Linked DNA regions of Bombyx mori. The protein of the gene in region 1 interacts with the protein of each later gene in a biochemical or structural test. Links are inferred from orthologs where the notes say so. Each region holds a gene or a part of one and is shown on either strand. Other genes may lie near its edges.

Region 1 (4,531 bases):
GTTTATGAACTGATTTATTAAGCTATTACCTAGTAGTAGATGATGCTGTTCTTATAAGTCATAGTCTAAAAGGACGTGGACGCTCCGAACTGCCTGTCTGCAGATGACCTAATTTGAAGATTTCAAACAAAAATGCGTAAAATAACTTACCTATATGCCATACTTACTTTTATATACATATAGGTAATTACAATCTTAACGCAACCATTTATTCATTCACTAAACTATTACGCATGGTACATACGTAAATACTACTTAATACATATGTACTTAAAAACTAGTCGCCCAATATTTTCGCCAACTCTCCCCTTAAATCTTATGCTGATTTTTGTGGTAGAGAGTGCTGTAAGCACGCACGGGTCCTTATCATCATTCTGCCTGTTTCTCTGGCAAAACTGTTTTTATCTATATATCATAGCTAAATCGTAAGTTATTCCAATGCCAATTTTGCAGCATTTACTTATATAGGCAGACTACCAAATGGCGCAAGAGTAATTTTTAAAGTATGGAAGGGTTGCGATTTCTTCAAAGACCCTACTGCATAACGATTTGACCTAGACCGCTGCGTTTTATGAGTGCAAGTACGACCAGAGGAAAATCTTTTTCCTAAGGAAGACCCCCGTTTTAGAAGCCAATTTAGCTTTACTTACTCCCTTAAACCGGCGAAATTAAAATTCGATAATGACTCAATATACTAACTGCATTAATTTTAAATATTGAAATTGAGGTGTCTTGAACCTTAATTTCATCTTTAAGGTGTGAGACCTCCACGGTCTCAAATATTAACTGCTTCGTACTTTAACATCATACCTACATATCAGAGAAACAACTCTAGGTTTTTAGTATTTCTAACCAAGAGATGAATGGATCTAGGAGCTCCCAGATATGGGGAGCGGTACATATGGCGCAGAACCGGACCGAGTGGAGAAGATTGACATACAGTCACGATCCTCAGCATTGAGGGAACGACCAAAAAGAAGGAGCTCCCAGATACAACTGTCTTCGCCTTCAATGTGACTCGCAGACGGTAAAAACTGTAAATAAACTGTAAGCTATAGCCAATCTGGAACAACACAGGCTCGAAATGTAGAAGATTTTATATAATGACTAGCTGACCCGGCAAACATTGTTTTGCCATATATAAGATTTCTAGGGAATTTCTAGGGTAGAAAAAAAAACTAACTTATTGTAAGTGTGTAAGGATGTGGTAAATGAGTGAAAGAGGTATGTAGTGCTGTGAACGATGAGGGAATATATAATAAAATAACAAAACCTCATTCAACCACATAATACCTCATTATAACAAAAAAAAAAGTCCAAATAAAAAATAAAATGTTAGGGGTGGACAACACTAATCACTTAGGGGTATGAAAAATAGATAGTAGCCGATTCTCAGGCTTACTGAATATGCATAAAAAATTTCATGAGAATCGGTCAAGCGGTTTCGGAGGAGTATGGGAACGAACATTGTGACACGAGAATTTTATATATTAGATGAGGATAAAAACAACCATTAAACAGGAAAATATATTTTAAAAAATGGTCATAACTAATATACCTACTAATCCGGGAGAAATAAACATCTCATTCTCAGAAAAAAACTTAAATAATTAATTAATTTGGCATATTATTCTTATTAATTAAATGCTATTTCTGTACTCAAAGTGTAAAAACCACAGTTTTTTTGTAAATCCTACCGATAGATCAATGTCAACAATGAGCTCGGCACATCTCTATCGAAATATGACATTTGTTCTACAGTTTCAAAGATGGCGGCCTTGTCGCAGTTGCTTTTTTCTGCCAAACAATACTGAAGAAATTGAGTTAACCAACTATTTTTACCAATTTATAAAGAAAACTTATTAGTTTGTAACACATAAGGCTTGTATAATCTTTCTAGTCATATTGATAATGTGATAATAAGTGTACCAATGGCTTCCAATAGTTCCAATGTGCAAGACTCGCCAGTTCATCAGCAGACGTTTGTGGAGGAGATTGATTACAGTGAAATACAGGAGCTTTCGGTAAATATTTGGACACAGATACGTTTTGACAAAATCAAAGTTTTTAATAGCATGTTCTGAGATTCTTAAAAATTCGACAGGTCGTAGGGAAAGGGGCCTTCGGTGTTGTCTGGAAGGGTGTATGGCGGAACAGATTTGTAGCGGTAAAGCACATAAATTCAGAGGCGGAGAAACGTGAATTTGCGATCGAGGTACGCCAGTTATCTCGCGTATGTCACCCAAACATTGTGCGATTGTACGGAGCGTGCACGCGGGGTGCTCACGTATGCCTCGTCATGGAGTATGCAGAAGGTGGCTCTCTCTATAATGTACTACACAACCGACCCAAACCCAAATACACAGCAGCACATGCAATGAGCTGGGCCCGCCAGTGCGCTGAGGTAATAATTTACTATTGATCATCAAAATACAAAAGCCAGTGTATTATATTAAGTATTATCTTAAATACAAAATTATTTTTAATTGTGCAATGGATTAAAAATACCATTGTTTTAGGGTGTAGCATACCTTCACTCCATGAAACCAAAACCATTAATACACAGGGATTTAAAACCACCCAATCTATTATTAGTGGGTGGAGGGCAACGCCTGAAGATTTGTGATTTTGGCACAGCAGCTGATAAGGCAACATACATGACGAATAATAAAGGCAGTGCTGCTTGGATGGCTCCTGAGGTTTGTATTCCAAAAACAGTGTAATGCAATAATAGAACTTTACTACTAAACTATATGTATAAACTAAACTTGACTATAAATAATTAAGATCATTATAATGACGATGAAAATGAAATAACTATTATTTTGTGTTTGTTACTTTTTCTGCTTCATTCAGTTTTATAATATTATTACCAGCATCTAATAGTATTTTAAAATTATAAGGACAAACATTATCTTTGAAAAAGAGTACGGAAAATAAAATCAATATTTACTTTTATAACTTTTTTATAAAAATAAAAGCCACAATGAAACTTAATTGCATGGATTATAAAAGGAAAAACTTTAAAGTACTAATAGTTATTGAAACCAAACCAAAATAACTTGAATTTCATTGTGTGTAATAAGATAAGGTGAAATTACAAATTACTCAGCAAATTGTTTAGCGTATAGAAATATTTTAAGCTTAGCTGAATTTAAAATTTAAATCATTATGCTTTTAAATATTATTTAACCACAATGCCTTATATTAGATAGAAGAAATAAATGAATAGGAAGATTATAATTCAAAGCTTTTAAAACATTACTGTTTAATGTTTTTCAGGTATTTGAAGGATCAACATACACAGAAAAATGTGATGTGTTCTCATGGGGGATAATACTGTGGGAGGTATTATCTAGGAGGAAACCATTTGAAGAAGGTGGTTCTGCATATAGAATAATGTGGGCGGTGCATACAGGTTTGATCTGTTATTTAAATTGTTATTTAGTGAAGATACAATAGTTGATCGTTGATTAGATATTATGGTAAAACTTACTAATTTTCATCCAATATGCTTATTATGACAAAAAAATTCGTGCTATTAAATTTTAAGAAATCTATTATGGTTGCGAACAAGTTTCGATTGACTGTGTGTTAAAAATTTCACACTTGCTTGATTATAAAGTGGATCAAACTGAGAATCACATCTCGAAGCGTACTGTCATAATTGGGTCACCTATCATAATTGGTTACTCTTGCTTATGGAAATGAAGAGTTCAGTGCTACTATCCTAACCTGCTACTAAGACCCTGTATTTATGTGTGTGTGTGAAAACAGGATAAACTTTAAGAAAAAAGATCTTAATGGAAAATCTCTACATCACAATAGAAATTGTGGTTAATAACCTAAGTGTAGAAAATAGGGATATGACCAAAAAATTTTTTCAAGACAAAAAAATTACTATTGTTGACTTGTGTGTATTTATCACAATCATTTTAATATTTAGGGTAATTGAATTAATAATATGCTGATGCCTGAATTTCAGTTACATAACTGTGAATTTTCAGGTCAAAGACCAAATCTAATAGAGGGATGCCCGGAGCCAATAGAGCAGCTGATGACACAATGTTGGCACAAAATACCAGCACAAAGACCAAGCATGGCCAAGGTATGTTTCATTTTAACTATTAATTGCTCTCAAGGTGCAACCTTTTGAACTGAGCAGTTTGGCTGTCTTTTAAATTTTACTTCATCAAATATTAAACAGTAAAGAGTCAGAATTCAGCTTTCACATGAAGCTATTTTATAAGTGAGACTATTATTTATAAAATCATGTATTACAGTTACGTTTGGATTGCATTTTACAAACATCTTACAAACAGAATTACCAAAACGAAAATGTAACTGAACTTTGTGCATGTGTCACAAAAAAAATCATGTTATGTGGCTACCAAAACCTATAGACATTACAATGTGAATGCTGCCATGCAGCTTGTGGTGTATATGTCTCAATTGAATGGCAGTTACACAAATTATAATTCTCGTGGGCTTACTTTTAAATGTCTATTTTTTTTTATATTCATCTACTAAC
Region 2 (4,430 bases), on another chromosome or scaffold:
TATCGATAAAAATATGTGAACAGAAAATATTTTTGAAATTATGCAGGCCTATTTCCGAGGGACATAAGAAAGAACTGCTAAATCATTTTTGGTTCCGAAGTAATATTCGTAGGACTGATTTTTAAGACGAAAACAATAATGAGATTTCGACAGGAATCCTGCTATAATATAAGTATTTTTTTTATTGATAGGATAGGTAGATAAGCTCACGGCCCGCCTCGTGATAAGAAGTCACCAGTTTGCTTAGTGCGAGTTTTTTAACGTTCTCGACAGCGTAAAAGTGAACTCAATTCTGTATGCAGTTGGAACAGTGCCCCTAGCGGCAAACGTAGGCAAACGATCCCATTCTATACAAATATGAGCTAACTTTTACGCTATCGAGAACGTTATAAAACTCGCACTAAGCACACAGAGCCGGGCGGAGCTCTTAACAAGTTTCAACTTTAACAGTACGACGGCCGAGCCTCCTATGAGGTATCCGCGGCTATGGAGCACGCGGGGTATATGAGAATTGATGGTCTGCAGATGTTGGAGGCAGGCTGCGGGCTCAAGGATATATCTAGGACTCTACTACACCAAACGACTCCCCTTGCACTCTCACACCCGACGTCCGATTTCCGCCCGGGGTCAGAACTCGGTCAAACTAGGGGGACTCTCGCGGTCAATACTACGACCAGGACCTCGCTGGGTCAGATCCGGCCTGCAGGAACGCGATACACCGCCGACACGGGCAGGGTTATGCGAACATACGTCCTAGAAATTACGTAAATCATAATTTTTACGGATTTTTAGTTTTATTGCACGATGTTATTCCGTCACCGTGGAACCATCTTACACCGTCTTACATGGACATTTCGTGTGATACGATAAGATATTTTATTAGAAAAATTGGTACCTGCCTGTGGGATTCGAACACCGGTCTCATCGCTCTGTCTTGATGATTAATTACTAACTATGAAATCATCGTGGCTTAAAAATTAAATGAAGGCATCATCAACACGAAAAAAATACTATGCATTATCAGCCTTAATGGATAAAAAATTAGCTGACGTTCAGAGTTAATGGTCTCATTACAGTCCCTTAATATTTACTTTGTCCTTTCTTATTATCACTAACCAAGGCGTGGGACTTGCCTTCAAATACGGTTTGACATGCCAGTTTTCTATTAGTACTGTACTATCTCAAATGTACCGTATGTTTGATGAGTAAAAAAAAACAAAAACTGGGCTGGACGTTAGTTAAGTGAACAAACGAACACTAAGTGGTAAAATATAGAAAAAAGATTTTCTTACATCTAATTTCTATGTTGTGGCAAAAATAAGAATTTAAGTTATAGTCAAACGATAGTTAACGACTATTTTTATTAAATTTCAATAGTGTTAGGAAAACTTCTGAACTCTAGAATTGTACTTTAAATTTTTGAACGAAAAAAATAAGTGTCATTAAAATAAAAATAGAAACTGCACAGAAGGGGCGACAGAAGGGTTGTTGAGTTTACGAACCTTCAGTTTTTGGGAATCGATTCGATTCCTGTCATTCGATTCAGTTTTACTTTTGCGAAGAAAATATAATAAATATTTTGTAAATATTAGCTGAACCTTTATGTCTAATATGTTAGGTACTTTCATTTATTTAACTTTGCCGTACAACTAGTGTAAAAATGAAAGTAAAATGATAAAGTGACAATATTAAGAACCGATTCAAAATTTAGCATTCTCTAAAACTAAAAAATCGTTTTGATGATTTAAGATGATCAAGTCTCAACTTGGTCTTAGCTCTATATTAAGAAATTTTGGTCATTTTTCAACAAAAGGTCTGTTTCATGAAATAAAAAATAAAAGTAATATTTGAGCTGTGAATTGAGGTGTTAGTGGTAAAAATAGCAATATGATAGCAAGACCGTGGACTGACGATCTTCCGAAGTGCAGGAATACGTGTGTAGCTTCGTATTTTTCAAAGCTCGGAGGACACTCAAATGCTAACGATGATTATTTATGTTTTTTCTGTCAAACAGAGGATAACTTGTAAGTTTAATTTATCATAACTTTTGTATATCTAACCATGTCACAATAGTATAGGGTTAAAAAAATACATTAAATTTGTCTCTGTCTTCATTGTGTCCAAGATAGAATTCATGACGGCAAATGTAACTATAGGTGAAGAAAAAACCCGGTCATTTAAATTTAGAAATACGTAGTTAAATTCCGAAGTTCATCAATTATTATTAAAGTTTTGTAAATAAACAAGAGCTTTTAATATCAACTTTCTCAAGTCAAAATGTTGCAAGTCCTCAACCCTGTTTTGTATTGCTGTTTCTGCAAAAAGCATCTTGCATCTGCATAGTGAATAAATGATATTACAAATACTCTTAAAAGATTTAGCAGTTGATATTATCCTTAATTTCTTTATTTAAATAAATGAAGAGCATTAAAAATAAGTTTGCATTTAAGTTTACCTTAATATAGAAAAAAAATATAAATTACACCAAAATTCGCTTCTTAATACAAATACAAACTTATAACTAAACTAAATGTTATTCTCATAGTTGTTTATATGGAGTATTTGAGCCACACAATGGTCTTGAAGCGGCCAGGCTTATCATGCAAAGAATGGCAGCTGAAATATTATTTCCACCACCCTCAGCCAACACAGATGAAGAGATACGAGACAGACTTAGGTAAAAACTATATATATATTTATCATAAATAAATAAGGGTGTATAAGAGAGATACTATTGTTGCTTTGGATTATGAAATATACTTTATACAAATAGGATAAAATATCAATTACTAGCTGACCCCGCAGACTTCGTAGTGCCTCAATCGATAAATAAAAGACCTAAAGTTTTGTATAAAATAAACTTAAAACAAACAAAAGGAATCTGTTCAACAGGGGAGGGGACACATCAAAGGAAAAACAAAATTGTCATTTTTATTTAATTCCGAGCATTTTCATGATATATATCTTCTATTTAAACCTTCTCTGGACTTCCACCAATAATTCAAGACCAAAATTAGCCAAATCGGTCAGCAATGAACAGCATTTTAGGTGGGTGGGCCATTTACCTTATGAATGTCCATGGGCCCCAGTAACCACTTAAGACCAGGTGGGCTGTGAGCTCATCCACCCATCTAAGCAATAAAAAAAAACAGCAATTCATTTTTATATATATATGGAAGATTTTGCAAATAAAATACACGCTGAGCAAATAGAGCGTAGATGGTATAAAAGATGGAACATGGGTCGAGATATTAATATTAATTCGTTTTATATATAGGAATGCCTTTGTGTCAGTTGAGAAAGCATACATTGAAAACTATGATGGAATGATAGCAGAGAGAACTAGTTTGCAATATCAGCTGCAGACTTCTAGTGAGACTCAGGTACTCATTTTGATTTCTTCTTTGTTTTGTATATACAAAAGATTAGAATGTACTGGCAGTTTCGATTATTCTTTTATATAACAACATTTAAGGTATATTAATCATAAAATACAAGGTATACTTTTACTTCATTTTCACACTGCCATTGTTCAAATGTACGGTAATATTAAAAAAATATAAAAATATTTAGGACAAAAGTCGACATATATAAATACAATTATTATCGTTATTAATAACCTTAAATTAAAATATTATATGCTAGAATGTGGATGTTTATGTTTTAGTGTCAGAGGATTTTTATCCAAGTGCTTTAATTTAAATTTCAGAATCGCCAAATTATATTGTCTCGCTTAAAAGAAATAGACCAGCATCTGTCCGGAGGTGCTACTGTGGTCGTAGCTTTAGTGCACAAAAATAAACTATTTGTTGCTAATGTTGGTGAGTGTTTTCTTATTAAATTCAGTAGTAATATTGTTATGTGGCTCCGAGATTCTATAAAATCATGTGAACCATACTGACTGTTGTAACTATACTGAGGACCTTAGAACTTATATCTGAATGTGGGTGGTGCATTTGCGTTGTAGATTTCTATGGGCTCCAGTAACCACTTACCACCAGGTGGGCTATGTATCCCACTGAGACATGAGTTGGGAGTCTTGTTGTATTACCAACCAAGGATGAATAAATGCACAGATTATTACCACTATCTATTACTTCTATCTATTATTCTAGACTATTGCTATCTTCTCTCATAAAAAATTATTAGCAAATATTAAATTCCATAATCAAACCATTTACTACCTCACAAGGACGCTCTTACTATCTTATACCTTTAAACGAGCAATTCTTGTATATTAATATATATGTATATAATCTGAATCTCGGAAACGGCTCCAACAATTTTCATAAAATTTAGTATACAGGGGATTTCGGGGGCGATAAATCGATCCAGCTACGATTTATTTTCAGAAAATGTTGTTTTGTTCGTGTTTTCAATAATCAACTTTAATTTATGACTCTTCTCGACATCTATTGGCGAATAATAAT

Evidence for each region.
Region 2: of the proteins of mitogen-activated protein kinase kinase kinase 7 (region 1) and tab1, one has a biochemical effect on the other in vitro, tested with the Homo sapiens proteins (4 studies listed by BioGRID and IntAct). The link is inferred for Bombyx mori from reciprocal best matches to the Homo sapiens genes MAP3K7 and TAB1.

What each region holds. Positions count from the first base shown.
Region 1 is NC_085109.1:9,467,084-9,471,614, reverse strand, and holds the start of mitogen-activated protein kinase kinase kinase 7, read left to right. Parts: upstream 1-1,727; 5' UTR 1,728-1,931; coding exon 1,932-2,024; intron 2,025-2,104; coding exon 2,105-2,404; intron 2,405-2,519; coding exon 2,520-2,699; intron 2,700-3,282; coding exon 3,283-3,418; intron 3,419-4,007; coding exon 4,008-4,108; intron 4,109-4,531. UniProt on the Homo sapiens protein: Serine/threonine kinase which acts as an essential component of the MAP kinase signal transduction pathway. Plays an important role in the cascades of cellular responses evoked by changes in the environment.
Region 2 is NC_085132.1:1,622,656-1,627,085, reverse strand, and holds the start of tab1 (tak1), read left to right. Parts: upstream 1-1,440; 5' UTR 1,441-1,887; coding exon 1,888-2,024; intron 2,025-2,545; coding exon 2,546-2,677; intron 2,678-3,277; coding exon 3,278-3,383; intron 3,384-3,709; coding exon 3,710-3,821; intron 3,822-4,430. UniProt on the Homo sapiens protein: Key adapter protein that plays an essential role in JNK and NF-kappa-B activation and proinflammatory cytokines production in response to stimulation with TLRs and cytokines.